Linked DNA regions of Lepisosteus oculatus. The protein of the gene in region 3 purifies or fractionates together with the protein of the main gene of each other region. This does not show direct contact. Links are inferred from orthologs where the notes say so. Each region holds a gene or a part of one and is shown on either strand. Other genes may lie near its edges.

Region 1 (10,092 bases), on a different chromosome or scaffold from region 3:
TTAGTAGTCTTGCCATGCTAATTTACTATTTCACCAAACATGTCAACTGAAAACTTGAAAATATCAGGTTGTCTGTACTACACACCTACTCCAATTTGTTTTTTTTTGCAAAAGTCCTAATTTAGACTTACATTTCCAATGATTATGTATTTAATGCTTAAATGTAAGGGTTAGGCTTTTAAAGTAAATTATAGTGGGATTCCTTACAACCCCTTTCCCAGCCACCTCTTCTAAACCCAACTTTAAGTATTCAGCCCTTTGTAGGATAAAACTGAAATTACACTTTCAAACGCATTCAAGGATAGCTATTTGTCTGTGCATGACATTACTTTTATATAGGCTATAGCCGAAAGCTGCATTTCACATCAACTCCCTCGAAAACACAAATATGACACAAGTAACAATGTTAAGGGAACAAAGAACGACTGAAGAAATATTTGGTTTTGATTTTGTTTGAATTTGTGTTGCTCCAGGGACTGTGAAACATTCTCACTTAACAATTTAATCATGCACATCATTTAACGTGTACGATTAAGTCAAATAGGAACAGCACCACGCTTGCCAAATAAAGCTTGAATATGTGTTTGTAGGATGTATGTCTTGAATAGAGAAACAAAATCAATCGAGGGTTTGGAGTCTGGTATTACTGTAACGGGCTCTGAGAGGACGCATAAGGACTTCCAAACTGTCTCGGAACTGCATCAGCATGATTGTGTCAACGAAATGTAATAGTATTTTGGGGCTGACTACAGTAAACACGGTAACCCACACTTTTGCCCAAGTTAAATAATTAGGACCCATCCAGCAATCACAAATTCACAAATCCAGTTTCTGTTTGGTAGAAAGAAAAAACGTCTCAGGTAAACCAAGCCCATCATCAAGCCTATGTTTTGTCATTTGAGAGTGCTGGACAAGTTAAAGATATGATTTAATTCAGGCATTGGGTCCTAAATATATGTGGAAAAGCACAGCAAGGGCATAACTGTGCCTTTAGAGTTTAAGCAGGGATCTTTTTATCTCCCTTAGCCAGAACGAGCAATAAAACAGCCAATGTACTGCAACTCCATCACCTCCAAGAACAGATCCCTATGTCTGAAAATATATCCCATCCTATTTCAATATAAGGTCTCATATGTAATCTGAGTAATCAATAGCACACCATCTCTTATTTCTCTGCAGCACTGTACTATCTGAAGTAGCCAATTATATTGGAGCTCGTGGCTCACACCACTCTGAGCAGCTGCTGTGTCACAACAGGTGGAAATAAGGAGACAGCTCCAGAAACGTTAGGCAGATTATCAATGCTAGTCTTTCTAGACCGAAAAGCAACCCTCTTTTCCCCCGCAGCTCTCTTATCAGGAAACATCCACAGAAATTATTTAATTGTTGATTTATATGGTCAACAATAACATTACTAGCTAGTTTACAACTGATTGCACTAAGTCTGCATCCATGCTGTTCAATGATGCCTGAATCTCACTACACACTAAAAGGCTGATTGTTCAAAACATTACCAGCAAAGGTTTTACTACCATGCAAAAGAAACATATTTAGATCACCCTAAATTTCCTACAAATAAAGTGCTACAGATAATGAAGGAGGTTTATGTACCTGTATAGCAACTCCCTGTCTGCATTATTTTTTATTAAAAACATGCCTATTTTCTACTACATATATTCAATTAAAATAATTACATTTGTTTTACTATAATGATGTAAGTGGCATTGGTCTATCATGAATGTTATTATTTTAATATAGTTATGAGTTGGAAATTATTTCTGTTCCCATGAACAGACCAGAACCCTCATAGTTACTGTCCTGGTCTTAAAGCAAATGGGTTTAATTGGGAAAATTTGTAAAATCAGCAGAAAGGAGATTATATTAGCATAGATTAGCGTGTATACTGAGAAAGCTCGTACCCTCCTAAGAATTAAAGAATCTAGGAAGTCCACGACAAAAAAACAACAACAACAAAACAACGTGATGAAAAAGTCACAAGATATTTGAAAAGCTATTTGATAACCCACTGTTACAACAATAGAAGATGTTGGCCTAATAAATAAAATCCAAAAGGAAGATGAGGTCTTGCCGCTGACGTCAGCAATGTCACCGCCGAACACACCATACACCCAGAACCAACCAGCCGAAAGCGTGCATGACGTCACAGGTCCCTCCCTCCCTCCCTTTTTACACGCAACCCTTAACCGAAAGTAACCTCAGCTCGTTGTGGGGGTGGGTGGCTAGGGGGAATGAACTCGTTGACTCCCGACTCAGAAAAGCAAGAAACAGTAGTAAAACGCTTCCAATAAACGCCAGTCGTAAGGGACTATACATTGTATACAAACTGACGGATATATGATTTTTGTTTCTTATCGAGTATAGTATATCAAAGGTCCGCTGACATTTGGAAAAGCATTAACGAAAACAATGTCAAAAATCTGAAAAAAGAACAGGGTTTTAACTACCGCTCGTTAAACATATTTCCGAGCCATCTGTTCTATTTTTAATAAGGTAACCCCACATGCGCCCCATCGTCACTATAGAAACGACATCGTCGGATGTCTTCGTTCTATTACTGTGCTGCTGGATTCAGCTAACAACTAACAACTGATAGGGTAGCTCTGTCTGACAGCAACTGTCATTCGTAAATTGATCTGCTTTTAATTTAAACGTAGGGGGTGGGTTTGTGACAAGGAGAGCTGTCTCATACGTCTCGAAATTAATGGCGCTTGATCAGGCCGCCGTAGTACTTGTCTTTTTTTAAAAAAAACTCTTACAGTTTATCTTAGAGTTTGCATGGTCTTTGAAAGGCTTTTCTGTCTTTAGTCATTAGTTTCCCCTTTATATGAAGTCGAACTAGATCTAAAACAAGAGCATTGCCAAACTGTACCATGATAGACCTTCACATGACGTGTGTTTTCCGAGATCTAAGGGCAAAGTATTAACTTCACGCAGGAGATTAATTTTTAATCGAAAGCGTTATAAAACAAATTCCAATCAACTAATTTTAAGGGTTCTTTTTACAGGAAAACGGTGTTTACCGACAGGAAAGCGACGTTTCTTGACTCAATATTCCTAATCCGACTATATTATAGAACACAAAAAAAGGGATTCAAATATGGCTATCACCTACATCGCAGACTGGACCCGGTGTCACTTGATGCACGCAAGATAAAGGGTAAAACTATCTGGTAACACTGTCTTTACAGATCGTCTTCGCTCATTAACATACCAAAGATTTCATTTAAAATCAACAATGGTCACCTTTTTCCCCAAGAAAAACCCGTAAAAAATTCGAATCAAGCTACCGATTCCTTACAATTCTCGATAAAATCTATTTCCTTTTCATCACGACCGTTTAGATGAATAAAACATTATAGGGCAAACACTATCACTTCTGTTGGGTACCGTATTCTGATCCCCTAGAGCTATCTACAGCTATGAGCGTTAGAAAACAATGCGTGGACAACAATCACCTGTCTAACTATTAATTTCAGACTACTGCGCGGACAGCATTGATTATTTTGAAACTGTCACGCTTCTCTTGCCAGAGGCGAGGTCCTGATCATGCTTCCGGTATGTTATTCTTAACGTGGCGCTTTTTCTTCTTGCAGCGGCTAATGATGGAAATACATCACGGAAGCGAAAATCACATTAAGAGAGACGCATACAACTAGTTTTGGTAAATCGGGTTTAACTAAGTGCTCCCATCACTTTCGTTTTATTTATTTCACAAAGCCAGTCAAGATATGACCTACCTGTCTAATCGCTAAAACACGTTAGTTCTCGCTGTAGACACGTCCCAGCACACAAGAGGAACTAGTACAGTTACGGACACGTTTTGCTTCCTCATGAGGCAAGCACGTTAGGACTACTGGATGTTTTTAATGTAAAGGCGTGAGATAACTTTCGCTTAGCTTTTCGGATATATTAAATATTGTTGACAGTTAGGTATATTAGGCTAATACAGCAAATACACAGTAACTAGCCATGACAGTAGTAAAACTAACGAGAGCGTTAGTGACAGCCGGCTTTAATTCTTACCTGTGACACGCCGGCCAAGAGCTGCTTCTTTCTCTGAACGAAGAAATGTTTGACCGAAAGTAACCTCTCACCTTCCGGAGAAAACCCGGAAATAGGACGTCATCTGACTCCATCCTTTTGTAGCCAATAGCCGCTGACATAATGGCCACACCTTCAACGAGCCTCGCTAACCTTTTTTTTAAAGCATTGCAGGAGGCGGTAACGTGAAATGCAGAATAAATGCGTTTTGGAGGAGCTTTCTTTCATGAAAAGAGCTCTCGGATTTTTGCACCTCATTTTTCATCTCTCACTAAACTGTTTCTCTTCACGCGCTTATAAAATATAAAACGACGTTAAAAGATTAACGAAAATCTCTTTATTTCTGCAAGTGACCCAGATCCATGAAAGGCAGAGAAACTTGGTACAAACGCACAGTTAACCGTATGTTTGCCAGAATGCAGCAGACAAGAGCTCCCATAAAATCAGACGAAGCTCATTTTTGTATGAAGCGTAAACTCGATTTCTTCCTCCATTATGTAATTCACATAAGGAGCTTAAGTTTAGCCAGCAGCCTTAACACTCTGCAACTCACAACTAGTAACCCACTGAAGCTCAGCAGTGTGAGCCTGGTCAGTACGTGGATGGGAGACCTCCTGGGAAAAACTACGGCTGCTGCTGGAAGAGGTGTTAGTGGGGCCAGCAGGGGGTGCTCACCCTGTGGTCCATGTGGGTCCTAATGCCCCAGTATAGTGACGGGGACACTATACTGTAAACAGACACCGTCCTTCGGCTGAGATGTAAAACCGAGGTCCTGACTCTTTGTGGTCATTAAAAATCCCAGGGGTTTCTTGAAAAGAGTAGGGGTGTAACCCTGTTCAAATTTCCAATTGGATTTATCAATCATGGCCTCCTAATAATCCACATCTTTGACTCTGCTCTCCTCCCCACTGATAGCTGGTGTGTGGTGAGCGTTCTGGTGCACTATGGCTGCCATCGCATCATCCAGGTGGATGCTGCACATTGGTGGTGGTGGTGGTGGAGGGGAGTCTCCATTACCTGTAAAGCGCTTTGAGTGGAGTGTCCAGAAAAAGCACTATATAAGTGTAAGCAATTATTAATTATGTTAGACACATCTGCTTTCCCTTTTATCTTTATGAATACGTACCTCCATAGTATGCACGTCGCATAAGTAGTATGTAGTAAAACAAAAACTATTTAATAGCCTCTCTTTAATGCACAATATTAAGTAATGTTTCTCTTGGAAACTATCATTACACCACAAACTATCATTACACCATAAAAAGTAGTGATTTATATATTAGACCATATTATATATCTGGTCCATGTTTTATTTAAAAAGATTACTGTTGCAAAAATCCCAATAAAGATACATTAAAACAAAAAAAATATTGTTGTTGACAAAAAAAGTCAGAACAGGTTTTAAAGTTCCCAAGAAGTAATAACTTTAATAAAATACTCAAATATCTTAAAAGGCAGATTTCATAAGAACTAATACAGAATATGAATATGTAGTCATATCATATCAAAATGTAGCCTCTAATGTCTGATTTTTCTATGTTACTATAAAAGATAATTAAACATGTTATAAGTGATGTTGCTCGTAATGAAGTACTAACACGAATATGCAATCCAATACTGACCTTCACTCTAAATTTTACTTAAAGTGAATGTGTCTCCATACACTACTTATGGTCCCCCAGAACTGAGGTATCATATGTATTTGTTCCAATAAATCAAATATATGCATGGAATTACCCAATAATAAAACATACATTGTACTTTTCTTTCATTTTAATCCCAAGGTAAAAAAAAAAACTGTTTGACTCTAAAGCAAAAACAAGTTTTGATCTTGCTGCCCTCTCAAGACATCAAGGAGAGCACTATACAAAATAGATATAAAAAAATTTCCCCAAACATTCCAGGAGTTGTTTCTTAACAGGACGAAGAAAGTCATGGAAAATCTACACAAGCTGTTTTTTTTTACTGTTATATGAAATGCAGTGCAAAACTATTTTTATTTGTCACAAAAGTCCTCCCATTTTATGCACAAAGAACACAGTCACCTTTTCCCATTCAAAATCAATCTGGTACAAGAAAAGAGCAGTGAATTTACTGGGATTTTATTTTCCAAATCAATCCCTACCCACACTCATTTTCTTTATGTATCCAAAGTGTTTTACAATTGCATATGAAATCAAAGCAGATTGTGTTTTTTAACAGCTATGAACGTTTTCCTCATCGTGATGCTTGCATGTAACCACTTCTTGAGAGTTTTATGATGGTATTAAGATTTCTACATCAAACAAGCAGTATCTCTATGAGTTCTGAACTCCTCTCCCAAAAATAAATAATGTTTTAAAAAACAAGGGGATGATGCCCAGCTTGATTCTTCAAATCCTGAAGCATTATTTCTTGCCCTCCACCATGATGATGTGATACCCAAACTTGGTCTTCACTGGCGGATCTGTGTACACAGGCTTGTCCATGGTGCTGACCGGCAGGGCAAAAGCTGCATCTTGAAAAGGCCCAACCATAGAGCCTCTGGTCATCCAGCCCAAGTCCCCCTGTCACACCCAGAGGAAAGACCAGCTCAGCATTTATTGTACAACTGGACAGAATTCCTAACCAAAAAGCTCAACTTAGAAAACTGTCAGTAATCTGCACTGCAAACACAGGACCATGATTATACTGTACCTACCAAAAATGTAACAAAGAAAAAACAAGAATATGTAAATTATACAGGAGCAACATAAACTGTGTCCATAACATTATGTGAAAGCGATTCTAAGGTATAGAGACGTTGAAACAATGTTAATGGCTACTGCTATTCATAATTTACCATAATATACGAGATTTTTATTCATGTAAATTTAACACTAAAATACTGTAGTACTGTATACAATTGAGAAGATAATAAAATTGAGAAAATACACCATCCAGTGACCAAAAGTGTGAATAAAAACCAGTATTTACAACATCACTTATCTATATGTAAATGGGACAATGTCTATTCAGCTTTTACTAGTGTATATGGGAGTCTCAATTCCATCATGTGCTCTGCACATTTACTGCTCATACAACCCCATCAATAGGAAAGACCAAGCGAATTCTGTGAAGACTCTGCTTCATCCTCACAACAAAAAGGGATCAGTATGACTTTTTTAATCTGTAGTTTGTAAAACGGCTTTCTTTTTTCAGTTTTTGTTTCCTTTTGCAATTTCACCAATAATAATTTACAAGATGATTTTTACCAGACTGTTGTGTACAGGTATATTAGGTAAGCAAAGACATTTTCAATGAGGCAACTAAAGGGATAAGAAACTAAGAGCTGGTTATTGCACATCTGAACAGCCAGTATTGAGAATGCTGCCACACTGTAAATAAACAGAGCTCACAATGGAAATTATTTTTGGAGTGAGAACTGGATATGAAAAGCTTCAATATTGATTCTTAAATTCACAGTACACAAATTTCAGCACAACACCTGACACTACGGTTCTTCCAAACATTTCACCCATTACTCATCCACAGTGAAGAAATGGCTTGGTCTCCTACATCTACATGTTTTTCACCCTAAATAAGATACTGTTCCAAAATTTGAGAACCATTCAATTTAACTGACTTCACCTTTCTTTCTTTAGAGTGTATGGTGGAATTGGCCCACTTCTGAGAAGTGACTTGAACGTACCGAATCTGGTTCATATTAAATTAGCCATGTTCAATACATTAATTTAAAAAAATTAACATCTCCCATGCACTGAAGGGAAGTTAGCATTAGACTCTTATAGTGGCGGTGAGAGGCAATGACTAATAAAAGACCAGTTACAAAAAGTGCAGTGAATAAAGCCTTTAATTAGTCATGCTTACTTTTTTTGTGCAGAAGGGGTTGGGATAAAACAAATTACTAAATATAATGTTCATGGACTGCAAAACTATTTATTAATTTGGTACTTTCACATATAGTAGCAAAGGTATGTGTGATTTTATTATTTCAGTTAGGGATTATAATCTATGTGCTGTTCTTTCTATACTATTATAATCTAAGGGCATTCTATCCTCTTAGGTTAGGCAAGCAGAGAGGAGGCCACACTATATAAACACAGCTGCTTTGGAGATGGTCAGCAGCATCAAGTTTTTGGGCATTCACTTCATCAATAATCTGACTTGGTCCCGTGACACAGACGAAGTAATCACAAAAGCACACCAGCACCTCTATTTCCTTAGACAACTCCGGAGATTTGGTATGTCTTCACAATCACTCACAAATGTACAACAGAGAAAGCATGTTCACCAGATGCATTACAGTTTGTTATGGTAATTGGTCAGAACACAACCATAAAAAAGCTACAGAATGGAACTCCTCTCCATTCATCCCATCTTCAGTACACACTGCCTCAGAATGGCAGATAATAGAATTAAAGATCAACACCACCCTGGGCATGCCATTTCTTCTATCTTGTGGCAAAAGATTGAGGAGTATAAAAGCCCAAACCTCAAGTTTTAAAGAAAACGTCTTTCTCGGCCATAAGATTTCTTAATACCACCCCTTAATTCTCCTACTTCCCATTTATACCCCTTTATTTTTGGACTGAACTCACAACACTGTCACTACCTGTTTTTTGCATATTACTACTAATTGAATGCTGCTGAAAATTACAGTTGTTACTTTTCTCATGTATACGGCTGCTACTGGTATTTTACACTGCAGCTTTCCACTATCTTTTTGGCGTACATGCTTTTTTTTATGTTCTGGTCTCCAACAATTTCAGATGCCATCTGTTATGTGTGGAAACACACATAAAGTAAGCATTTAATTGTACTCAGGTACAAAAAAAATCTGAAACTTGAAAATCTGGAACTCTGTTGCTGTCTACAGGTATTCTAATCTGTCATTTGTTTTAGCCCGTCTCATCTAGATGCATTTCTCACTTACTCCTTGTCTCGCTTTGTCTTCACTGTATTGTGAGGCGACTTCACTGAACCGCACCCCAGACTTCAGTTTTTCCATGGCCTCCATTGATTTGCTGTGTTTTTCACAAAGAATATGTCGGACCTGAAATAAATTATAAGTGTGTGTGTGTGAGAGAGGGGATCAACATGCAAACTACAGTAAACTTTAGAAAAGTACAGAAAGGGAATTCTTTTTGGTATTATACTGCCAATCGGCTTTCCCAATACAAACATCTGAAAACACTATCACAAGATCCCATGAAGTGTTTCGTAACATATTTATTCAACGTTGCACAAGATTTCATAATCATAAGATTATTCTTGAAGCATTCCATTGTTAACAAAGTTGGATGCTTTTTGGCAATTTGACGCTAGGGAGGTAAACACCGAGTTATAATAGTCCATTTTAATGCCCCACTGGAGATGAAAAACTTTACAAATGTCTGACACAAAGTTCAACGGTGCCACTGTACCTTAACTGCATTTCCCCCTTTTTGCGGCTTTTCTTTTTTCTCAGAGTCACCACCTCCAGAAGCGCCAGCTCCTAAACATGGCAGAAAGACACCAGCACAGATACAGTGGTAAAAAAAACAACTATTTATATAGCACTTTAAAGGCATCTTCTCACAGTGATTTTTTACAGGAAAAGTACAGAAAAGAGTTAAAACAACAAAAACAGTAACAAAGTTCAAGTTCAAGTTTATTGTCATTATACTCATATACATGGTATATGGTATAACGAAATGCTATTTAGCTAGCTCTCGGACATAAGTAGTACAAAGAGAAAAAAAAACAACAACAATACAATTGTGTTGCAAAAGAAAGACAGAGACAACAGGCAGTGTGCAAAAACCAACAACAGGCAATGTGCAAAAAACAACAACAGGCAATGTGCAAAACAACAAAAAGTTAACAGGTTATGTGCAAAAATATGCATCAACAGAATAAAATAAAGGGATAGAAATTATGGGGAGTGTGCTTTTGACATGTATGGTAGAGGTAGATTTTCAATGTGTGTTTGGGTTTTTGGTAAGAAAGAAAGGAAGAAGGCACTGTTGAGGTTCAGATCATAGGTGAGAGGTGAGGTGAGAGTGAGAG
Region 2 (11,066 bases), on a different chromosome or scaffold from region 3:
ATGAGCATACGGATCGGATTGATTTTATTGATTTTTCTTACAGGAGACGAGTCCAGTATGTCCACAAAAGTCCTTGGGAAGCACATCTCTAAAAAAACTACTGCTCCTCATTGTTTTTCTTCAGAAATGGAAAACATGAAGACTAACGGAATCTGCACCCCTCTTGCACAGAATGAAACGTTCGGGCTGGCCAGGACACGACCACACTCGCCACGCGCCCGCGAACCCCTGTTCCAGATGAGCCCGAAGCCATGACTCTCACTTCACCGGTCTACACGAACCAGCACTGAGCAGCTCTCTTCCTCAGCCATGACCTGCAAACACCACTGCACACATCACTGCACTCCAGACAAGCAGTGGCTGACTGGAGTCTGATGAAGACCCTCTTTTCCCAGCCTCTGTGCGATGCCCCTAACTGGAGTGATCTGATCCAGTCATGTGCCGATTTTGGCACTCTGCTCTAGCTGCCCCTGCAAACTCAGGATGCACACAGAAGCCCAGATATAACCACAAGCAAACCTTCGGCTGGATTCCAGGCAGACAGAGCTCTTATTAAGGGGACCAGCAGCTTTAAAAACAACTCGTGCTCTATTCCAGTTTGGACAGAATTGTGCATTTGGCCAAATCAATTCACTTCTGATGCACTGCTGCCCAGGAGCCAGCGCAGTAACTCATGACTCTTCCCCTCTCAAGGGGATCAAACCGGTACAAGAAGCACAATCCAAAACGATGCAGTTCCTTAGCAGAAGACTCCTCCGAACTGGGAGACCACTGTGATCTGAGCCACCGCCCAGACTCTTCTCTCAAGCAGCAGATGGGATTAAAAGCTTGCTCACAGGTGCACACGTCTCCACCTGAGGCCTAAGGCACGGGTTACAGCTGGCCATCCAGGAACAGTTCTGGATAAGGGATATGGAGTGGACAAACCAGATGCCTCTTGCACTTCTAGTTTTCCACCCAAGTTCTGACAGTGTTGGTCTGGAATCAATCCAGGGAAGAGTAACCGGATTCACTGTGGGACATCAGGGGATATACCCCGACAGGCGTATATTCAGAGCTCAGGCATTTTAGCTTCGAACAGTGAAGAATATACGGGACCCGACTCAAAACAGTCAAAGTCAACGCAGCAGGCGTCTGCAGAATCAACAGTGAAACATGCAGCAGAGAACGCCGGTGGGAACGATATCAAGAACGCCAAGAACAGCAGAGGCGTGACCCTGCTGGCAATGGGACTTGGGAAAAGCAGTCCGGCCATGCTGTTGAAGCTGATACCCTGGCTTCTCGCAAGAAGCAATGGATGAGCCTTAAATCTATTAGCCACTGGCTTCTGTAGTAACAGCCAAACGGGCCTCCTCTCATCTCCTCTCGCCTTTCTCACCCCGACTCCTCCCGACCAAGGCTGGCACAAACACACACAGCAAGCCATCCTGCATTACTGAACTTGGAGAAGCTCTTAGACCTGCAGGAGACTGCTGCAATGTTTGAATGTCCATGCCATGCTACAGTATATTTCTTAGCCATGTTAATTCAGTGTACAAAATGTGCTGGCCCCTTGAAGACTGGGGTACAGGCTGTAATTTTGTGACAATCACGCTTCTCCAAAGTGATGGAGGCGACACTCACCAAGCCAACACATGGTAAATAAGAGCTGATAAAGCACCACAAGACGGCGAGACCCCCAGAACAGGACTCGGGCTGCCTGCCCTGAACACCGCAGGACAAGCTGGGGCCACTGCTGAAGAGAGGAGGTGCAGCAGGGCCAAGGAGCACCTCCTTAGAAACAGAAACTTCAACTGCCCGAAAACAGAACCTGCAGAACACACCTTGCCTCTTGCACACATTCGCTCCTAATGCTCTGGTCAGAAGTCAGAGCCAGCCACAGACACACGGAGAGCCAGCCAAGCTCCAGGGAGAGCCAGTCCACAGACACACGGAGAGCCAGTCCACAGACACACGGAGAGCCAGCCAAGCTCCTGGGAGAGTCAGTCACAGACACACGGAGCCAGTCCAAAGACACACAGAGAGCCAGCCAAGCTCCAGGGAGGGCCAGTCACAGACACACGGAGAGCCAGCCAAGCTCCAGGGAGAGTCAGTCACAGACACACGGAGCCAATGAGGTTTGCCAGGCCTTTCTAATGGTAAACTGCTGTTACAAGAAAATCAGAGGGGAAACAGAGGTGACTGTAAGGGGGAGGCTGTGTTCATGTTCACGGAAACTTAGAGGCCTTGGTGCAAAGATGCACTATAGTGACCCTACAGACTCCTTCAACAACAGCAGACAAAACAACTCAATAGGAGATCCCTGAACATTATCTCAAGGCCGGCCACAATACAATATTCTACAAATGCATCCATTAACTTTCCTCACTAACACATTAGAAGAAAACCTCTCTTACTAACTAAACTATACAGAGTATTAAAAAAATATTCCAAACATTAATGGAGCATTATGCAATGACTGGAAAACAATTAGACTGGTACATGATGATACCCAACTAAAACCTCTCAACACCAAACTCTGCACAGTTACATGAACATTGATATTCCTTGACAGAGACTAGATGTCTAATACCATCTTTCCAACTTCACAGTAAAACAACCACCCAAGAAACACTCCGGCATACTAATTTGATGGTGTAGCTGGTACTGAGCAGAAGCCAGGATTCTCTCCCAGCTGAGCCTCATGTGAGCCCTATTATTCTTCAACCCTCAAATTGACCCACAGTACATTGCATCCCTTGTCATAGTGCTGCTCCTGTTAGCTGGGATGAGATCAGATTCCGAGAGGAAAAGTCTCCCACGATGCAGCAAGGTAACATCTTACTTCCTAGAATACCGAGAATTTTGACTAAGGCCTGAGCCTTCTCCGAACTTCAAGAACAAAAACGGCACCAGTAGAGGTAACCAAGCACAGCAGGTGGCACAGATACGATACGGCCAGGCCGCAGTTAAAGCCATCAGTGTCGACTTCTTGAGCTCCTGCACGCCAGTGACGAGCACAGTGAAGGGCCCTGAAAGACCAAGTGCCAGCAGGAGGCAGTAGCCGTTACGGAGCACAGAGACCCAACCCAGAGCTCAGAGAGAAGCAGGCTCCGACACGCTGCCGGTGGCCGCCTGTGTCCAGAAAAGACGCTTCATCAGCGGCGCCGGGTCAGCGGAGACGAAAAGGACCCGATGCTCCCCTTCCTTTCGATACCGCCGGACTTTCAGAGTCCGATTTCTCCCCGGTCTCCCAGAGTTCGAGAACACAAATGCTTCCCCTCCTCCCCCCCAAGCTCTGCTTCAAGCCAAACATTTTCGACAGCTCTCGGAGAGACAGAGCGGGCCCTTCGGGGCCCTCACGAGTGGCACTGCCCCGCAGGCAGAGCCGCTCCCCCTCCCCAGGACGGGCACGTCGACGTCGGCCCGGCCGAGGCTCTCTGGGGAAAAGAGAAAGACGCTCTGGAAAAGAAAAGCTCTGCACGGGATTGCACCCAGCGCAGTGACAAGCGGGGGCGCTTCCTGCTGCAGCTCTCCAAATCCCTGCCCTTGCAAACCAAGGATTTAAGAATTACCGGCCCGGGATTGCAGCGTCTCCCCCGGGAAGGTCACACGCATAACCAGGCCCTGACGGCCAGGACGCGCCAGCCGCCAGCTCCTGCGCGCCGCACCCCGGGGGGAGCCAGCGGCCAGACTGCTCCGTGCGCCCCCCCTCCACCCGAGCCCTGCTGATGCCAAAGGCACCACCTGCGGCGGCCCGTGTCCTGCGAGGCGGCCAGCTGTCAGTCCCCAGCCCCCATCAGCAGGAAGGCGGCCGACAGGGGGCTGGAGGGGGAGAGGCGCACCAGATCCGGGATCGGGACGGCTCCCGCGGACCGAGGGGCTAACGAAACACTTGTTACAGCGGCGGGAGGACAACAACAACAACAACAACAACAACAAAAAGAAATCAATGTGGAAGCTAATCACAAGACACCAAGAGCCTCACTCACACACACACACACACACACACGCTCTCCAGACTGGAGGGGTTTCACCAGCTCCCCCCCGCAGGGTACAGGTGCAGGTCAGCCCAGTGAGGGGCTGGAGGCCGGCTGACTGCGGATTGGGGGGGGGAAACGGTGCACAAGCAGAAAAACAAAAAAACAAAAAACAAAAACAAAACAAACTCCCACTGCTGTGCAGGTCTGCAGCAGAGGCAGAACCCGGGCTACCGAAGTTCACTCGGTTTCATCGCGAAAGCTGCGGCGCCCGGGAGCCGGTTGAGGATAACGACAGGACCGGACTCACCCGCTGACCAGCAGCCAGCGTCCGGCACTCACAACACACACACCGACAACAACAAAACGTGCCGCCTACTTTCCTGTCAGAGCAGCGCCGGACGGTGCCCATCACTCCGCGGCCTGGGGGGACACGGGGCCCCTTTCTCAGCCCGACAATGGAGAGAAAAAAAATCAAACCAGTCACGTTTTTACGGACGGTATTAGATCTAGCAGCGCACAACAACGGCAAACACACACACACACGTCTCCCGATCTGTGAAACCAGCAGCCGGGACGCGGAGCCGCGCTACAGACACGACCACCAGCATAACGCCTCTCCCCCGATCACGATGATCACCAGGAGAGACGCCAGACGGTTGTTTAAGCCCCCAAATCGCGTTTTTCCACCCCCCTAACAGGACACCCAGGTGCATGAAATCGCGCAAAATATTAGGAGGCGAGCCCCACCAGCACCCGTCCCAAGACACGGGCGAAACGCGCATCGTTGCGTTTCTGAGCTGCCCCTGGCATCAAAACTAAGCCCTTGGTCTTGTTTTCTGCACACCAGGTGAGATCTTAATCTCCCCCCCACCCCGGCAAAAAAAAATAATCAGCTCAATGCAGACAGCATCCCTGAGCGAAAGGATACAGTTTGAATCCTTTGAGAATCTCTTTGGCTCTGTCTTCGTGTGAAGACATGTTCCTGGAAATCGACAAGTCCCTCGTCCGGCGGGAAGACGGCTACAAGCAAACAGCTAAATGATGTCGCCGCTGCACTTTTAACTCGCGGCGGAAAATGAATAAAACGGCAGCGGTTACACGTATAAGGCCAATAGGTGCCGTTTTTAATCTCGACAGCAGCACTCTCTCTGATCCCTTAATCAACCTAGCCTAAATAGATTGTGGGTGAGTGACAGCTGATCCGCCCGCACGGATGGCGGAAAACAGGGGGCGGGCACAAAATGAACCAATCCGTGCGGAGAGGTCCGGTGAGGGGGAGGGGCTTTGGTTTGAGGCGAGAATCGTCACCGATGGCAACCCTCAGCAACGTGACGTCACCTAGCTACGGCTGTATGGCAACGTGTAGGAGACAAAGTTCGTTTGGCGTTTCAGCTCATCCTCCTGGGTCCTGCACACTAACTGTAGCTAATAAAGTGGATCCCCTCTCTATCCTTGTGTTGTAATTTCATTGCTGGAAGAGGTCTATGTTATGGAGAACACACGGGCAAGGCGATATTCTGTGTTTTTAGATAGAGTACCACCATCTGTGGGTGGTCACTAAAATGGTATGTAAGTTGAATACAATTTCTGCAATTTCCCTCACGGGATTCATAAAGTATCTGTCTAGCTAAAACACTGTTTTAATTCATAAACAAACCACACCATATAAACCTGCGAGTAATTTTAGAATTGTTTCAATTTTACTCACAATAAAGTCCTCCATCTCTCTTTGTCTGAGGGCTTGTGGAAAACGAGAAGCAGCTGAACTGCTGGAGAGTCCCAGGAAGAGACAACTTGAGACACTGTGCACTTCCAGAGTGGCCTCTCTGCCTCTCCCCTCTCCCAGCTTTTGTTCTCCTGTGCTTTTTAATCTTTGCTGTCTGCCCTGTCTTTCTCACACCTGAAGAAGGCTTCCTGCTTGAACTGCTTGATAGAGCTGTTTCAGATACAGGAGGGAATAGGATCTAGCAGGAACAAACTCCAGCAGGGCTCCAGAAGGGCGTCTGGTGCTCGATTTCTCATCGCCCCTAGAGCACGAGAAGAGCACCGCGGTTTATGAGTGACGGCACAAGGTCTGTCAGCTGGTGCCTTCGGAGTTCTGCTGCTGAACTCCAAACAAAGTGATCAAATCCGAGGTAGAAACTTTAGACTTATCTTGGCAAGAGAACTGTAAAAAGTCTGAGCCTTTTGTTCACTGTCTGTCTGTTTTGTTTTGTTTTGTTTTTATTGTGTTTTTGTTTGTACGTTGTTTCTTAACTTTTGTTTGCTTTGTTACAATGTTCTAAGCTTCTGAAATAAAATATATAAAAACTCTGAACTCTAAAGACCAGGGTGTCATTGCCCTGCCAGGTATGAAGATATGCTGTATATTCATCTTTCCTGGTCTGGACTCAGGCCTTGCAGCATCAGACCCGGGGACGAACACACTGTTGTTCTGTGACACAGGACGGTCCAGTAGAGAGTTCAAGTAGGGAGCTGCGCCAGCATGTGCAGACTGCACAGGAACAACCTGGAGGAGCACACACCTGAAGAAGGCTCCACAGCATCCCTTTTCTTTTCCTCTCAGCGTGGAATAGACCTTCACCTGCTCCTGCTCAGCACGGGGCCCGTAGATAGAGCCTTCCTGCGCTTCTTACCTAAACTTCGGAGAGTGTCGGCCCATCCTGCCCAGTGCCTGCACAGGACCGTAAAGCAGTAGCAGCCCTGGCCTTTCCCCCATCATGCCTCGCTGTGGGACAGAATGTCGGTTTGGAGGCAGGACTGTTGGCACAGATGTAGCGGAGCGAGTTCGGGCACGGTGACTCATCGCCCTCCCTGCGCGTAGCAGGGACCTCAGCCGGCTGGGCTGGGGGAGGTCTCCTTTAGCTCATGCGGCTGCTTCTCTGTTGTGTTACGCCGGAGACCCGGGTTTGAGCCCCAGGTGTTGCGGGACGGAACGGGCGGCGGAGGGCACGACCCCGCACGGAACCGCGACGGTCACACAGACACACCTGGTGCAGGTAGCAGCAGACCTGGGTCAGGTGTCACCTCACACAGTGAGTTTACAGGCGGCCAACAGAAAAAAAACGAAGAATTGGAAGCGTAACTCGCGTAATTGAACCAATCAGATGCCAGAGGTCAGGGTTCAGGGTTCTGGGGTCTTCTGCTGTCCTATCCAGAGGTTCTCAGCCCTGGCAAACTGAACAGCAACATTCTCATAAGAAACACACTGTAGACTCCTGGAGAAGAGTTTATAGATCCCATTAAGTAATTAAATTGTCTAGGTGAAGCCAGGAGATTCTGTAGCTTATGGAGACTGGACCAGCCCACAGTTACAGCTGAAGTTACAGCTGTTTAATCTTGAACAGAAGAGACTCTGAGGGAACCTGATACAAAGACTGAGAGCCCAGGGATGGAAGGTGAGCCTGTTGTGACTAACAATCAGCCGCAATAAAAACACAAGCAGACAGCGCTAGAGCCTTCAAAAATAATCATAGTTTAATATTAACAATGGCAGGTACAGTGTTAGTAGGGTAAGTAAAAATAACTAGTCCCACATAAACGCTCTGGTCCCGTCAAAAATAAAACCGAAATAGAACCGAAAACACAAAAAAACACGAAAGGGAAATCTTCTGGGGACCCGACCTGTGTGACAACTGTAAATCAAAACAAAAAACAACTAAAGGGAACAAATCCAAAACACAAGGAGGAAGAAAATAAAACAAATAAATCAATAAAAGTCTCAGGAGAGAGCTTTTGCAAGGCTCTGGTAGTCGACGTTGCTTACGGAAGACGTCTCTGGTCTCTGTAGGTCTCTGTAGATTAGGACACATAGGCAAGCTGGAGCTCCTCAGCTGATGGTAATGAGGACGTGACCTCCAGCAAATACCCAACAGAGACGCAGACAGGCTACCATCCCAGCAGAGGGGGGCTTCAGAATAACCTAAACATTACAGAGTATTCCCAGTTCTGGGAATCGGCCAGGTCCACCCAGTGGAAGGTTTTCAGAATGAAAAGTGACACTCGAGGGAAGAGAACAGGAGGTACTTCTCTACACAGAGGGGTGTGGGAGTGTGGAACAAGACCCCCAGTCGTAGTGCTGAAGCCGGTACCCTGGGTCCTCTCAAGAAATGGATGCTGGATGAACTAGACGGGCCGAGTGGCGTTCTTGGGTTTGTGGCAGGGGGAAGCACTACTGATTATTATTATTAATAATAATAATAATAATAATAATAATAATAATAATAATAATAATTGCTTACACTTATATAGCGCTTTTCTGGACACTCCACTCAAAGCGCTTTACAGGTAATGGGGATCCCCTCCACCACCACCAGTGTGCAGCCCCACCTGGATGATGTGACGGCAGCCATAGTGCGCCAGAACGCTCCCCACACACCAGCTCTCAGTGGGGAGGAGAGCAGAGTGATGAAGCCAGTTCAGAGAGGGGGATTATTAGGAGCCCCTGATTGGTAAGGGCCAATGGGAAATTTGGCCAGGACGCCGGGGTTACACACCTATTCTTTACAAGAAGTGCCCTGGGATTTTTAATGACCACAGAGAGTCAGGACTGCAGTTTTACATCTCATCCGAAGGACAGCACCTGTTTACAGTATAGTGTCCCCGTCACTATACTGGGGCACACCTGCTAAGCCAAAGAAGAAGACAAGCACACAGAAAGTCTGTCCACAATGCAGTAACTGGCGTCTGACATGCCTGCGGCAAAGTTAAACTTTCATGAGCTCAAGCTGCTGTGCAGCAGGAGCCCCAGCCCTCCCGCTGCAGGGACAGCGATGCGCCCAGTGTGTCATCCTGGCCCTGTGCAGGACGCCACAGGGGGGCGCTGCAGGGCTTCCTGCAGAGACTGCCTGCTGATGCACACTCCTGAGCCTGGCTTCTCACTGCAGAACAGACTTTCAATCGGGTGAACCGAGTTCTTCCCCAACAGTCGTCTCGCATATTCTAGTAAACCTGCTCTGATTCCTTTGCAGAAATCGCGTTTTTCCCTTTTGTTTAATTTCCCGACGTATCGCTGGTGTGCGTTAAAAATAGGAAGGAAGTAACGAAGTTTGCTCTAATGTTTGCTCTGAAAAACTAATGTTACAGTAACAGCAGAGGGATGTTGCTGCGCCGTCATGCCGGTAGGCATAACGGGTAGACATCCTTCCTCCCGTAAGCCTTTCAAGCAGAGACTCCCTCCGTGCAGAGTCGTGCTAAATACCTGTGCAGAAACGGTTTCATCTGTGTGGACCGGCGAACACGTGGCAGCGGGAAAAGAGAGGTCGAGACTTTCAGGAGGCGCTGTGGTGCGAGTCACGCGTGGGCCGGTGGGAGCCGGGAGAGAGGCCGCCCGCCCTCACCGCAGCGCTGACAAGCGCCGCTCTTTCTGAGCAGCAGAGAGATATTGTGTCAGCGTCTGACACGCAAAACATTTATCAGGGAAAATAACAAAAAAAAAAACCTTGGGTCCCTGATATTGTGGACTTGTAGTTTTTAATGCAACGAGTTATTTTTTCTTAGACTGTTAGGCTGTGGATTTTAAATTAGAGGCAGCTAATTAAATGGGTCTGTGCCTCACGAGGTATTATTGCACTTTGTACCTGAAGGCTGGCGAGTGCGGACACGAACGAGCTGAGATCTCTCTTCACTCCCAAGCCCTTAGTTATAAAACCCACGTCTGGAAAGAAGACCACCGTGTGATTGGCAGCAGAGAACAGAATACTGTCGCATGTCTGTCAGTGAGAACATACCGACTCCAGTGATGATGTCTTCTGATTTCTCTGATTTACTATAGTTTACTGTATGTGTTGCTATAAAAGCAGCACCGGAAATCAATTTACTGCGCAGTGTAGCTACTGTGCGTGCTGCCTGCTGTGAAACTGACTATTGAATCTGTTAGTGAGGGTCAACAATTGTAACTTTCGTGCATTGTCCTGGTTCAAGGTTTCAGCCAGATGAATACTATTAATGGTGCCACCGTGAGTGCTGTTGTTAGCACACCTGCTGATTCTGACACTGTTACTACTGCTATTATAAGTATTAACATTAACGCTAACTACATATAGAATAATGCAAATACAGTGTAACACTGCTCTGTCACCCTGCAGCTCCCAGCTGGCAGCCCACTGGAGCTCAGCAGTGTGAGCCTGGTCAGTATCTGGATGGGAGACTCCTGCGTGTTAGTGGGTCCAATAGGGGGCGCTCACCCTGCGGTCTGGGTGGGTCCTAATGCACCAGCATAGTGATGGGGACACTGTACTGTAAAAAGGTCCCTTGGATGAGACGTAAAACCGAGGTCCTGACTCTCTGTGGTCATTACAAATCCCAGGGCGTTCCTCAAAAAGAGTAGGGGTGTTACCCCCAGCGTCCTGGCCAAATTTCCCCCTGGCCTTTACCAGTCATGGGCTCCTAATAACCCCCATCTCTGAACTGGCTTCATCACTCTGCTCTCCTCCACACTGAGAGCTGGGGTGGACACTGGTGGTGGGGGAGGGGATCCCCATTACTGGAAAAGCGCTCTATACGTGTAAGGAACTTTAAATGATCATTCTGTGTCTCAGGTGATTTTTAAACTGCGTTGTGTCACGGCGCTGCAGCCTGTTCATTCCGATAACGGCGCACAGCGCCCCCTTGTGGTACAAATCTCACGCAACGCTGCGAGGAAGAAGAGCGCTGTGGTTTCTCTCTCACTGACCGCTCTAGAGCCGCCTTATAGTCCAAGGAGCGAAGTTTGACTGTAAAAAGCGGAAATCCGACTCCTAGTGCTTTGCTTTTTCACCAGTAACTGACACGTGCCCCCTAAAGGTTTTCAATATTTTGTATTCCTTTCTATATTATATAAATCTCACGTTTTTAGAGTCCAGTGAGAGAAATTAATAATCGTGTTACATCACGTCCTGCCTACCGAGGAGAGTCGCGGGAAACAAAACCCGTCTTTTCAACAAGAAGCGACAGGAAAACGCAGAACAGCCGGGTGTTGTAATGACGTGAGCGGGCCACAAGGGGGAGATAAAACACCGTCTGAGCTGTGATCCATTCAGCTTGATTTAAAGAAGTACCTTACAGCACACACTTAGAGTGCTGTGACTGTCTTTAATTTAAAAAGAGGCCATATCATTTTTATTG
Region 3 (10,712 bases):
TTTAAAATATTATAGTGATTTTATTCAAAGCTTAATCTGTTACAGTCTTGTGCACCCAAATGAAGTGCAAAACTTTAAACATGATTGGTTTCAATTAAACCTTGTTTTAACAAATTTTAAATTGTCTTTGGCAATACTAGATTGTTCCAGCCTTTAGAGTGGCACATGGTGTTGAAGCTCATTTTTGTGTTTCGTATTAGAATGGTTAACTGTTTGACAGTGAACAGTGGTTGTAGTTTTTTGGCCAATATATCACCCTGCAGCTCACAATTGGCAGCCCACTGAAGCTCAGCAGGTGTGGGCCTGGCCAGTACTTCCTGGATGGGAGATTCCTGGAAAGGCTGAGGTTGCTGCTGGAAGAAGTGTTAGTGGGGCCAGTAGGGAGCGCTCACCCTGCGATCTGTGTGGGTCCTAATGCTGCAGTATAGTGATGGGGACAATATGCTGAAAACAAAGTCACTGTTCTTTGGAGGAGACGTAAAACCAAGCTCACCCTGTGGTTTGTGTGGGTCCTAATGCCCAATCGAAGTGTTGGGGACACTGTACTGTAAAAAAGGTGCTTTCCTTTGGATAAAATGTAAAATAGAGCTCCTGTCTTTCTGTGGTCATTAAAAATCCCAGGGTGTTTCTTGAAATGAGTAGGGGGTAACAACCCCAGTGTCCTGGCCAAATTTCCCCCTGGCCTTTACCAATCATGGCTTCCTGATGGTCCCCATCTGTGAACTGGCTTCATCACTCTGTTTTCCTCCCCACTGATAGCTGATGTGTGGTGAGTGTATGTTGGTGCACTATGACTGCCATCACATCATCAAGAGTAGTTTATTGGCATATGTGCATGTACATTGGATTTCTTAATCGCGCTGATCTGCCAGGACATACACAGTAGAACAGACAACACACCACGCAATGTTGGCAATAGGAACAATAAATATGTTGTGGAAAAATAAATAAATATGTACTAGTGAGACCAGAAACAAATGGTAGACTATGTAAAAACTGCGTAGTGCAGATGTGTATTAAGGTACTGCAGTTAGCTGTTGAGGATGCGCACTGCAGTGGGATAGAAGCTGTTCTAGAGTCTAGTGGTCCTTGCTTTAACAGTGCGGTACCGATTCCCTGAGGGCAGGGGAGAGAACAGCTTGTGGCTGGGATGGCTGTCTTTCTGAATGATGGATTGGGCTTTATTGCGACTTGCGAATCTCACCGATTGATAGTAAAGGTGGATGCTGCACATTGGTGGTGGTGGAGGGGTCCCCATTACCTTTAAAACGCTTTGAGTGGAGTCTCCAGCCAAGCACTATATAAGTGTAAGGAATTATCAATACACTGATAAGTAGCTCCAGCAGTTTCTGACAGTCGTTGTGGGCTGTGAGAAGACTGTTGAAGGGTGCCGGCAATCGATTACTCTCATGATGTGAGTTTCAGTTCTGAATTGCACACTGAGGAACTTTCCTCAGCTCTTTCCATGTTTTTCAAACGAGTGCTAGCCTTGACCCATCCCCCTCTGCCTTCCCAGCGCCCTACGTCCTGAAGAAACTGGATAGCATCTGAAGAGTCTCGCTCTCCCGCCTGCGGAGGTCTTTCCCTGCGGCAGCTCAAGACAACAGCGCGGAGCCTCTGCTGGACCGGGAACATGTCGGCAATGCTGCCAGAGATCACCAGGACTGCTCAGTCCTTGGCTTGGGCTACACATCTGGTTCTGCCCTCTATCGTCACCTCATTGTTTAAAGGCTGCGATACCCATCATGTGTATGAATGGATCTCAACACTGTGCAACTCTCACAACACTGCAGGACTTGTGTGCTGATTTTATGTATTCTTGTTAATACAGGTCAATTACCCAATGATGTGTAACCCTTTAAAAATATTTCCCCATCTCGCGTACGAGTGAAATATAACAGAACAGCATGAGTTTTTTTTTTAATTTGGGTTTTTTTTTTAAGGAGGGGTGAATCCAGCATCCTTTTCTTTGGGATAGCTTTTGTTTGTTTTAAAACCTCCTGCGCGGTGGCGTTATTTGACCGTAACGCCATTCCCATGAAGTGTAGTGTGAGTATTTGTGTCGGCCGATTCTGACGGCGAAGGGGACGTGATTCCAGCCCTCGCCTGATGCAGCAATTTTAAATTCCACTCACTGCACCACAAGTCAAAATAAAAATGGTTCTTACGATTGCTGCTGTTCATTTGTTGTAATTCTTTAGTTCAGAATCAACCTTTAATATTACAAATACACCCAAAATGTGAAAGTAACTATTAATACTCAGTTATTACATAATTTTTTACACACAGAATCTAAACCCTCTCAATACATGCGGAGGAGTTTAATATCAATGTATTTGTACTACTGAACTTTCTCTTTAATTGCAGTGATTCTCTGTGTAGAATCACTTCTGATTATTATTATTAGATGTTTTTCTACTTTAAGAAGACTGGAGTTGCTCTTAAGAGGAAGATTTTTTTTTTTCTTATAAAATATACTTTATTCCGGAAAAAAACACATCTCAAAAGGAAAACATCTCATACAATAACACTCCACAAGTTAAAACAACGGCGGAACGGCGGTGATTGTCCGTTTTCAATCCTTGCAAGGGTCTTAAGAGGAAGATAATCACTTTATTAGCCCTATACAATTTCTTGCAATTGGATTTCATCTTTTCGCATACCCCAGCTTGTTCTCCATTAGACACAGAGACAGGGAGAGAGAAGCTTGGGGTCAGAGCACAGGATCAGCCATTGTACAGCGCCCCTGGAGCAGTTGGGTTTAAGGGCCTTGCTCAAGGGCCCAACAGAGTAGGATTCCTCTGCCAGCCACAGGAACTGAACTGGTTACCTTCCAGCCACAGGCACAGATCCTTAGCCACAGAGCCACCACTCCGCCCCCTCGGTTTTTAACTTTTGGTAGAGTCATGGTTCCTCTTAGCTGATTAACTGTAGCTAATCCTAGGAACCACTACTTAATCTAATTACATTGCACTGGTGTTTCTACTGGAGGTGACTAAAGCCACCTGTATAAAACCCTCAGTATCCATTAGTTAGGTCTGTTATGATTGAACAGGGATTATGTGTTTTAATTAAAAATCACTGAGTAATTCCTGAGCATGTGTTCCTCAAGCAGAGGAATCAGTCTTGAAGTTCCAGATGGTTTCTGGTTTTTCTTTCCCCCTGAGCCCTAAATTACCTCATTTGAGCTCTTTATTGTCTTAAAATGATTTTCCTTGTTCATGAGAAGCTGGAGATTTAGAAAAAGGTGCTGAACAATGGCTCTTGAAATCCAGGTGTTAGTGGGGCCAGCAGGGGGCGTTCACCCTGTGGTCTGTGTGGGTCCTAATGCCCCATTATAGTGACGGGGACACTATACTGTAAAAAGGTGTTGCCTTCGGACATAAAACCTAGATCCTGACTCTCTGTGGTCATTAAAAATCCCAGGGTGTTTCTCGAAAAGAGTAGGGGTGTAACCCTGGCATCCTGGCCAAATTTCCCATTGGCCCTTACTAATCATGGCCTCTTAATAATCCCCATCTATGAATTGGCTTCATCACTCTGTCCTCCTCCCCACTGATAGCTGATGTGTAGTGAGTATACTGGTGCACTATGGCTGCCGTTGCATCATCCAGGTGGGGCTGCACATTGGTGGTGGTGGAGGGGATCCCCATTACCTGGAAAGCGCTTTGAGTGGAGTGTCCAGAAAAGTGCTATATAAAGTAAGCAATTATTATTATAAAGGGAAGTTATTACTCTCTAGCTGTTATGTGTGTCTGGATCAAACTACCTGTGGATGTGAACTCTGATGGAACCCCAAGGAATGGGTGAGATGAGATTTACTTGGTGCACACTGCCTTCAAGTCACGACTGATGTTTCCTAGAGTAGATCAGGGGATCGTCATGTTGTATCAACTGTAAGCCTACTCACATAAAAATATATATTTTTATTGATATAGCATACAATACAATTTTTGGCAACTCAAAGTGCTTGTTACAAAATATTAAGTTAAAACAAGCAACAATAACAAATGTGAGAACCATGTGCAAACAGTACAAATAGCCCTGAAATTATACAAGAAAAATCAAGTAAAAGCAAGAGTAAAAAAAATATGTTTTGAGCTGCCGTTTAAAAATATCCACAGAGCCAGCCTCTCTAATGTTTTTAGGAAATATTCAACTATTCCACAGTTTGGATGCGTAGTAGCAAAAGGCTGCCTCTCCAGTCATCCTATGCTTAATTTCTGGAATAATCTTTAAAAATCGTGCGCTTGTTGCACTGACCTTGATGGGATTTACAGTACGTACAGCTTCATCCATTACTTGTTTGAGCTCGGGGGGCTTGTCTATGAATCATACAAAGCGGACGGAGCAATGACCTGTACTTTCGTGACTAGCCCGCTGTGTTTGCCAGTCATAACTCGTTCACCGTCTGAGCAGATTCCCACACACGTGTTCCAGTCAATTTCATGCCCACGGACAAAACGAAAAGTTGATCGCCAGTGACACGCTCGGGAAGAGGACGACTTAACAATAAATCCTCATTAATGTCTCCCCTTTTCAACAAATCTGGCGTAAACAAGCATTGGTGCATCTCCGGAGACATCAGTGGTCTCGCCAGGTTGTAAAGAACAATACACACTAGATTTGATCTTAGCGATCACCTGCTCTTCCGCGTCTCTTGCCATACGCCCAGTGCGGTTAGACACGGTATAATTTCACTCTGGTATCACTGCTAGCTGCTCTGCAGCGCTTTTCCCCACACATGATTGAAACCGTTTCCTTAGCGCACGGTAAGAAAAACGTCTCACCTAACGTGTGTGGCTTCCCAGTTTTGGCAATCCAGTTAGCTATGACGAAAGACGCCTGAAGTGCCTTGTGGTTCACAGTGGTGGCTTTTGGAGGTTAGATTGTTGGCCTCTTAGCTCCTGTAGCTTTCGTTCAAAAAAAAAACTCAACAGGTTTAGACTGCAAGGTCGAGTGTCTGGTCTGCAAGTGGCATAGCAATTTGGAGGGGCTTGAGACTTTCCTTTCCACAAACCACACATAGCAGTCGTGCAACCTCTCCATCACTTGTCTGTGTAAATCCGTCCTTTAGGTACCTTTCGTCGTATTTTCTCGTTTTCTTCGTTTTTTTTTCCTGTTCGGAGTTTTCTGCTGTTTCTCCACATTCGTGTGTTTCTCCACATTATCTTAAGCTTTCATTCTTCCAGTGCCACCTATTAAAAAACGCTCCATTGCTAGGCTTATCACGACTATCTTGCGCAAAAGAAAAAAAAAGAAATTAATGTAGAACAGAGCAGGCTGGGAGTTGTAGCCGGGAGATGGTCTATGGGCTCGCAGAGTGACCACTGCTAATGAAAATAGTCTAAACTATTTGTTGGTGTATATACTGGAATAGTTAATTGTGAACCTCTTTTATTGTCCTTTGATGTTTAACCATCCTGAAAATGCGTACGTGTCCCGTTTACCGCCCTAGTGTGTGCGTTAACCTTTGGTTAATTCTGTGCGTTGCCTATTGCGCGACCCTCAGGTTAAGAACTCCAGAATTATAATAATAATTATTATAATTTAATAATAACTGCTTACACTTATATCGCGTTTTTCTGGACACTCCACTCAAAGCGCTTTACAGGTAATGGGGTCTCCTCTCCACCACCACCAATGTGCAGCCCCACCTGGGTGATGCGACAGCAGCCATAGTGCGCCAGACTCATCAACTATCAGTGGGGAGGAGAGCAGAGTAATGAACCCAATTCATAGATGGGGATTATAAGGAGGCCATGAATGGTAAGGGCCGATGGTAAATTTAGCCAGGACGCCGGGGTAACACCCCTACTCTTTTCGAGAAACGCCCTGGGATTTTTTTAATGACCACAGAGAGTCAGGACCTCGGTTTTACGTCTCAACCGAAGGACGGCGCCTGTTTACAGTAATACTGGGGCATTAGGACCCACATGGACCGCAGGGTGAGCGCCCCCTGCTGGCCCCACTAACACCTCTTCCAGCAGCAACCTTAGTTTTTCCCAGGAGGTCTCCCATCCAGGTACTGACCAGGCTGACTGTTGAGATAAAGACGCTCCTCCGATTCACTCTGCAATGCCGAGGCTTGTAGTAACTTCCCACATTTCCAGAGTAAAAGTGCACAGCACGCATTGAGTAGTTCTGCCGCGCAGCTCCAATTGCAGGGCTTGGTTTTATGTCTCACTGTTATCCTAGAAAAGATCATTTGAGTATTGTTCATACATGTAAAAATACAAATCTTGACGCATGTCTTACAGTCTGCAGGCGGATGGCGTCAATTGCTTGTTAAAATGATTAGAAATGACATCAACAAAAGCCGAGTCCTTATTTTTTTTGGTCTGCGGACTCCAGCAGGACAGTCGGGGATGTTCTCTCCGACTGGTGGAGCCGGAGCTCACTGCCCTATCCTGTCTGCTGCCTCGTCCCTGTTGCCAGGAGGCTGCGAGGGCAGTTAAAGCAGGAGAGATTGACGTAGGCTGTGCTAAACCCAGCCCCACGCATCCTCCTGCGTTGTGCTGCTGCAGTCTCGGCTCGCTGCTAGCGCAAGAAGAGCTGCAGCCTCGTATCACTTTTCGCAGATGCACAGCTGCGGGAACTACGGCGTCTGCCGAGATACTGTAACAACAAACACCAGCCGCTGCACAATGTCGGAGTTTATGCATTGATCCAGGCGGCCAGACGGTAACAGTTTAGCGGCACCGCCAGCAAATTCCTGTTTCGGTCTCTGGGGGCCGTAACACTACAGAAGGGAGATCAGCACACATTTATTTTTTTTATTGCCAACCACCACCTCGTCTCCCCGCTTTCCAGAGCTTGAGAACGGAGGACGAAGAAAGGATTTCAGCCTCCCCGGGTGTCTTCAAATCTGTTTATGCAAGCAGTTGGTCGGGGAGGGTCCGAAAACATTTTTTAAGCAACTATGTGTCGGCCGCGTTGAGCTGAAACTGGGGAGGTAAGGGGTTATATAATTCAGTGTGTGTTGTCGAACGAGTCCCCTAGTCAGATCCCCAGCCATCTCGATTCCTAGAAACACGTTTCAGAACGTTTGATCGCTTCATCGTCAGGACAGATGTTTATTTTTTAATACGGTTATTTTAGAACTGTGTTTCTAATGCGCTAGGACTTGTAACAACGTATGCAATACAATGTTTTTTATTTTTAAAACAGGATTTATGTTTCCAGATCTGTCATTTTTATTTTCAGTTTAAATCGAATTGCACTGTGCAGTATAGTACTTGTAGTATCTAGCATTAAGATTAAGGTATGTACTTGTTGCGTGGCGTGCAACAAGGAGCTTGATGTCTTCGTTTAAAAAAACTCTAAAGAGTTTATACGGCGTTGTATTCGGACATTTCTTGTGCAAAGTCCTTAGGCTGAAGCAAGTGGACTAAGAGACCGCGTTGCTCTTTCCACAAGATACCAAGACATCCGAACACCGCACACTTTGGCGTTTTTAATGAGAGTCACTTTTGCTGTGGTTTTATCTTAAAGAAATTGCACGGTCAGTTCAATCGTGTGATTGGCTCTTGATGACAACCAGAGTAACTTCAGTCACTCAGCTTTCCCCTCTCTACTTGACGATATCATGTATATTTTCTGTAAGGTGGGTCTTATTTAGAAAGGACATTTACTTGGAGAGAATATAGCTGCAATCAAGCAAAAAAAAAATAAGGGCCTGTTCTTTACAGAAGTTATGATAAGTCCTAGATTTAGTTTAGATTTAGGACTGAGAGACAGCCAACGTGGATGAACTTTGTTACAAAGAGGAACATGCTTTTCACATCTCTCATTGTGCATGAAAGATGTCTGAGACTGTTAAGCCCAGTAAATAATATACCTGCTTTAGTGAATGTTCAATTCTATATGGACTCAGCTGTTCACCTTTATTTGTTGTCACTCTTAGGAGTTGGAGAGGGAGAGGAGCATCTACAATAAACCCATTCAATTGGTTTATTTACTCGGTTTGTGCAGTTTACACTTTATGTAGATCGGGCAGTGCGTGATGAAATATTTAAACGATCCCTGATCACATCATGAAGGAGTGTAGAATGATGGCAGGAGAAGACTTGAAGTCTGTTGTCTGCAGAGGGTGCTGATAATAAACAGTGTTGGAATTGGGGTCGCAAGAGAGGTTTCCCAAGAGGGAAAAGCCATTCAGTCTGCCTAATGTAGACTGTTTGGGTGCTAGTAGCTGGTTGAGCAGAGGTCTTGCCAGGGGCAGTGTCAGCTACAGCACCAGAGTGGGGTCATGTGTTCCAGAATTCCCACAACCCTTTGTGAAAAGCGGTGGATGCTGTTTTTCACTTTTAAATACAATTCATCTTATTCAGGCTGTCGTCTTCATATTTCCCTTACAATTCCTGCCCTCTGTTGAGGATGTTGAACTACAAGTGGAAGAGGGGAATGGATAGCTGTCAATTCCAAGGTCCAATGAAAAATGACTGTTGTGCTGTATTTCATAGCTACTGTAGAAATTACACCCCGGGAAATTTTAGTGTTTTATGTTGTGTAGCTGGTATTTTCTACAATGTGTTTGCACGAGGAACATTTTTGGGGCTCATCTGTTGAGTCGTTTCTTACATTTCACAGTTCAAATAAGAGCATGCACAGCAGGGGAAGTTTTTCATTGTAGTGTGTACCGTGCGCAAGTGGCAACAGCTGTAAAGATGCGCACAGAAATCGCTGGCCTGAGACGGGGTTATGTCACGAGCTGATTGTGACAGGCGTTGCGGAGACGTTGGTGCGCAGTTTGGCGAGTCACCGTGATGAATAAATCGACACGACGGCGGGCACCGACGAGTTGACAGGGTGCTGGAGAGAGCTGGTCAGCACCAGTACCGCTGCTGGCACTGTGTGATCAGGATGAAGTGTTGGACTGCCCCAACTGCTTGCTTCAGAGCAATGGCCAAGCTGGTCACAGGAGTTCAAAGTAAGGCATGGAGACATAAAAATAAAGATGATTTATGGTTCTAAAGTTCTTTTCTTAAAGCAATGCACTTGGGTTCATTTTTATTCTCTGAGGTCCATGTGACATTTTATTTTATTTGCTTCACAGTTTGAACAAGGTGCTTTTTAGAGCATGCATACTGGAACTGTTTCTCCACCACCCAGTGCAATTTGTTAGTACACAGTGAAATACATGTACACTCATGCAGTGCAGTATACGATTCTTTCTCTATTCAGTATTGAAATCACTACACTAACTTCCATGAGGTGTTATTGCCTAGTGGCAGTCATTGCACTTGCCCTGCCATTTCTTCCTGTTTCCTGAGCAGAGCATTATGGATCTTGTAGTCTTGTTTGTTTGTTGTGCATGGAATAGACCATTAAAGCAGTTTCATAGCATTGATGAAAACCGCCCACATGTGAAAAGCTCATATTTGTTGGATTCTCTTGATTTTCCTTTGGATTCTCAAGCAAGAAAAAGAAGACAGGCGTTTTCTGTAGTTGAGAAACATAAGGAATAAGAGTTTTTTTGTTGTTTTTTTGTTTTCTAGTGTCACCTCTTAGCATGTACAGGTTTCTAATGTTAGTTCAATGTGTAATAAAAAGTTTATCTGCTTGTAATTTAATAGGAAGTGCAATTTGTGGAGAAAAAAAAAGATTAGTCATCTTGGTTTGCCATGAAATGGAGCATTTCATCTAGTTCTTTAGTCAGTTTATTGTAAAAGTGTTTTGTGTAATATAGGTAAACTTACAAGAGTTACTGAATATGCAGATGAATGAGTAATTAAAGTCATTGGCCTCATGTTTTTTTCTATTCCTGTAAAGAATGTGCCCTGTATTTAAAAGTATATTTTTAATTCTATCCATTTAATGTGTTTAGCAAAATGAAGACTGAAAATTCTTTGTAGGAAATTGTAGTCTAATTGTCCTGCTATTTCTCTCCAGAATACTAAGAACTGTAAAGTAATACAATATGTTCACCTCTCTCAGATCCCCAAAACAGAATGAAAGAGAAGTGGAGGTACAAATTGGAAAGCTGTCCACTAAGAGTATGTTTCCATACAGTATGTGCCAGCAAAACACTTGTGCTGTAAATTGATTTCCCCTTTTCTGCGGTCATTTTGTTTTGTGTCTGATGGGTTAGGCTAATTGGAGTCAAGCACTGCGCCACAAATCCAATCTCCCGTTATCTTGAGGTCTCAGGAGGCCAACCTGCAGGGAATAATTACAGACAAAGGAACAAGTAAAGGTTTTTTCCAGGCCGAAAAGAGAAGAAAAGAAGTGCAACGTTTCGGCAGTGGAGCCTCCTTCAGGTGTGAGAGAGACAGAGGAAAATCGGCAGTTGATAAAACATGGGAGAACAAAAGCCGGGAGTGGAGAGGAGGCAGGAGCAGGAGGGAAGCAGAGTGGGCCCTCAGGTGGTGTGGAGTCGAGAGAGGTGAAGAGAGGTGTGAAGTCAAAACCCACACATGAATAGAGAGGATTAGAAGGAAACGAGTCTGTCATTGAGAGAAGGGGGAAGGTGTGATCCTAGCTTCGGGATAATTTTGGTTTCAGATGTTTTTCTGCAATAGGATTCCGAAACCCCCCTTGGGGGAGAAGAAGAGATCAGTGTGATCATGGCCATTAGAGGTGAAATGGGAAACTATGGGCTTGGAGAGATCTTTGATCCTCACAGCCGTGTCATGTTCCCTCTAACGGTCTCCCAGACTCCTTCCTGTTTCACAGTGTGGATAGCTGGGATAGCTGGGAAAGACATCCGA

What was found.
Region 1: the proteins of fbxo10 (region 3) and acsl4a purify together in Homo sapiens (affinity purification with western blotting; 3 studies listed by BioGRID, with this or other methods). This does not show direct contact. The link is inferred for Lepisosteus oculatus from reciprocal best matches to the Homo sapiens genes FBXO10 and ACSL4.
Region 2: the proteins of fbxo10 (region 3) and pde6d purify together in Homo sapiens (affinity purification with mass spectrometry; 3 studies listed by BioGRID and IntAct, with this or other methods). This does not show direct contact. The link is inferred for Lepisosteus oculatus from reciprocal best matches to the Homo sapiens genes FBXO10 and PDE6D.

What each region holds. Positions count from the first base shown.
Region 1 is NC_090703.1:41,092,424-41,102,515, reverse strand, and holds the start of acsl4a (long-chain-fatty-acid--CoA ligase 4), read right to left. Parts: upstream 4,132-10,092; 5' UTR 4,045-4,131; intron 1-4,044. Other genes in the region: pin4 (peptidyl-prolyl cis-trans isomerase NIMA-interacting 4), read right to left, coding at 6,450-6,608, 8,978-9,097, 9,468-9,538. UniProt on the Homo sapiens protein: Catalyzes the conversion of long-chain fatty acids to their active form acyl-CoA for both synthesis of cellular lipids, and degradation via beta-oxidation. Preferentially activates arachidonate and eicosapentaenoate as substrates.
Region 2 is NC_090708.1:1,880,900-1,891,965, reverse strand, and holds the start of pde6d (retinal rod rhodopsin-sensitive cGMP 3',5'-cyclic phosphodiesterase subunit delta), read right to left. Parts: upstream 5,172-11,066; 5' UTR 4,941-5,171; coding exon 4,891-4,940; intron 1-4,890. UniProt on the Homo sapiens protein: Promotes the release of prenylated target proteins from cellular membranes. Modulates the activity of prenylated or palmitoylated Ras family members by regulating their subcellular location.
Region 3 is NC_090696.1:67,256,440-67,267,151, reverse strand, and holds the start of fbxo10 (F-box only protein 10), read left to right. Parts: upstream 1-5,693; 5' UTR 5,694-5,769; intron 5,770-6,495; exon of another isoform or gene 6,496-6,813; 5' UTR 6,814-6,955; intron 6,956-10,712. Other genes in the region: tomm5 (mitochondrial import receptor subunit TOM5 homolog), read left to right, coding at 1,517-1,551. UniProt on the Homo sapiens protein: Substrate-recognition component of the SCF (SKP1-CUL1-F-box protein)-type E3 ubiquitin ligase complex. Mediates the ubiquitination and degradation of BCL2, an antiapoptotic protein, thereby playing a role in apoptosis by controlling the stability of BCL2.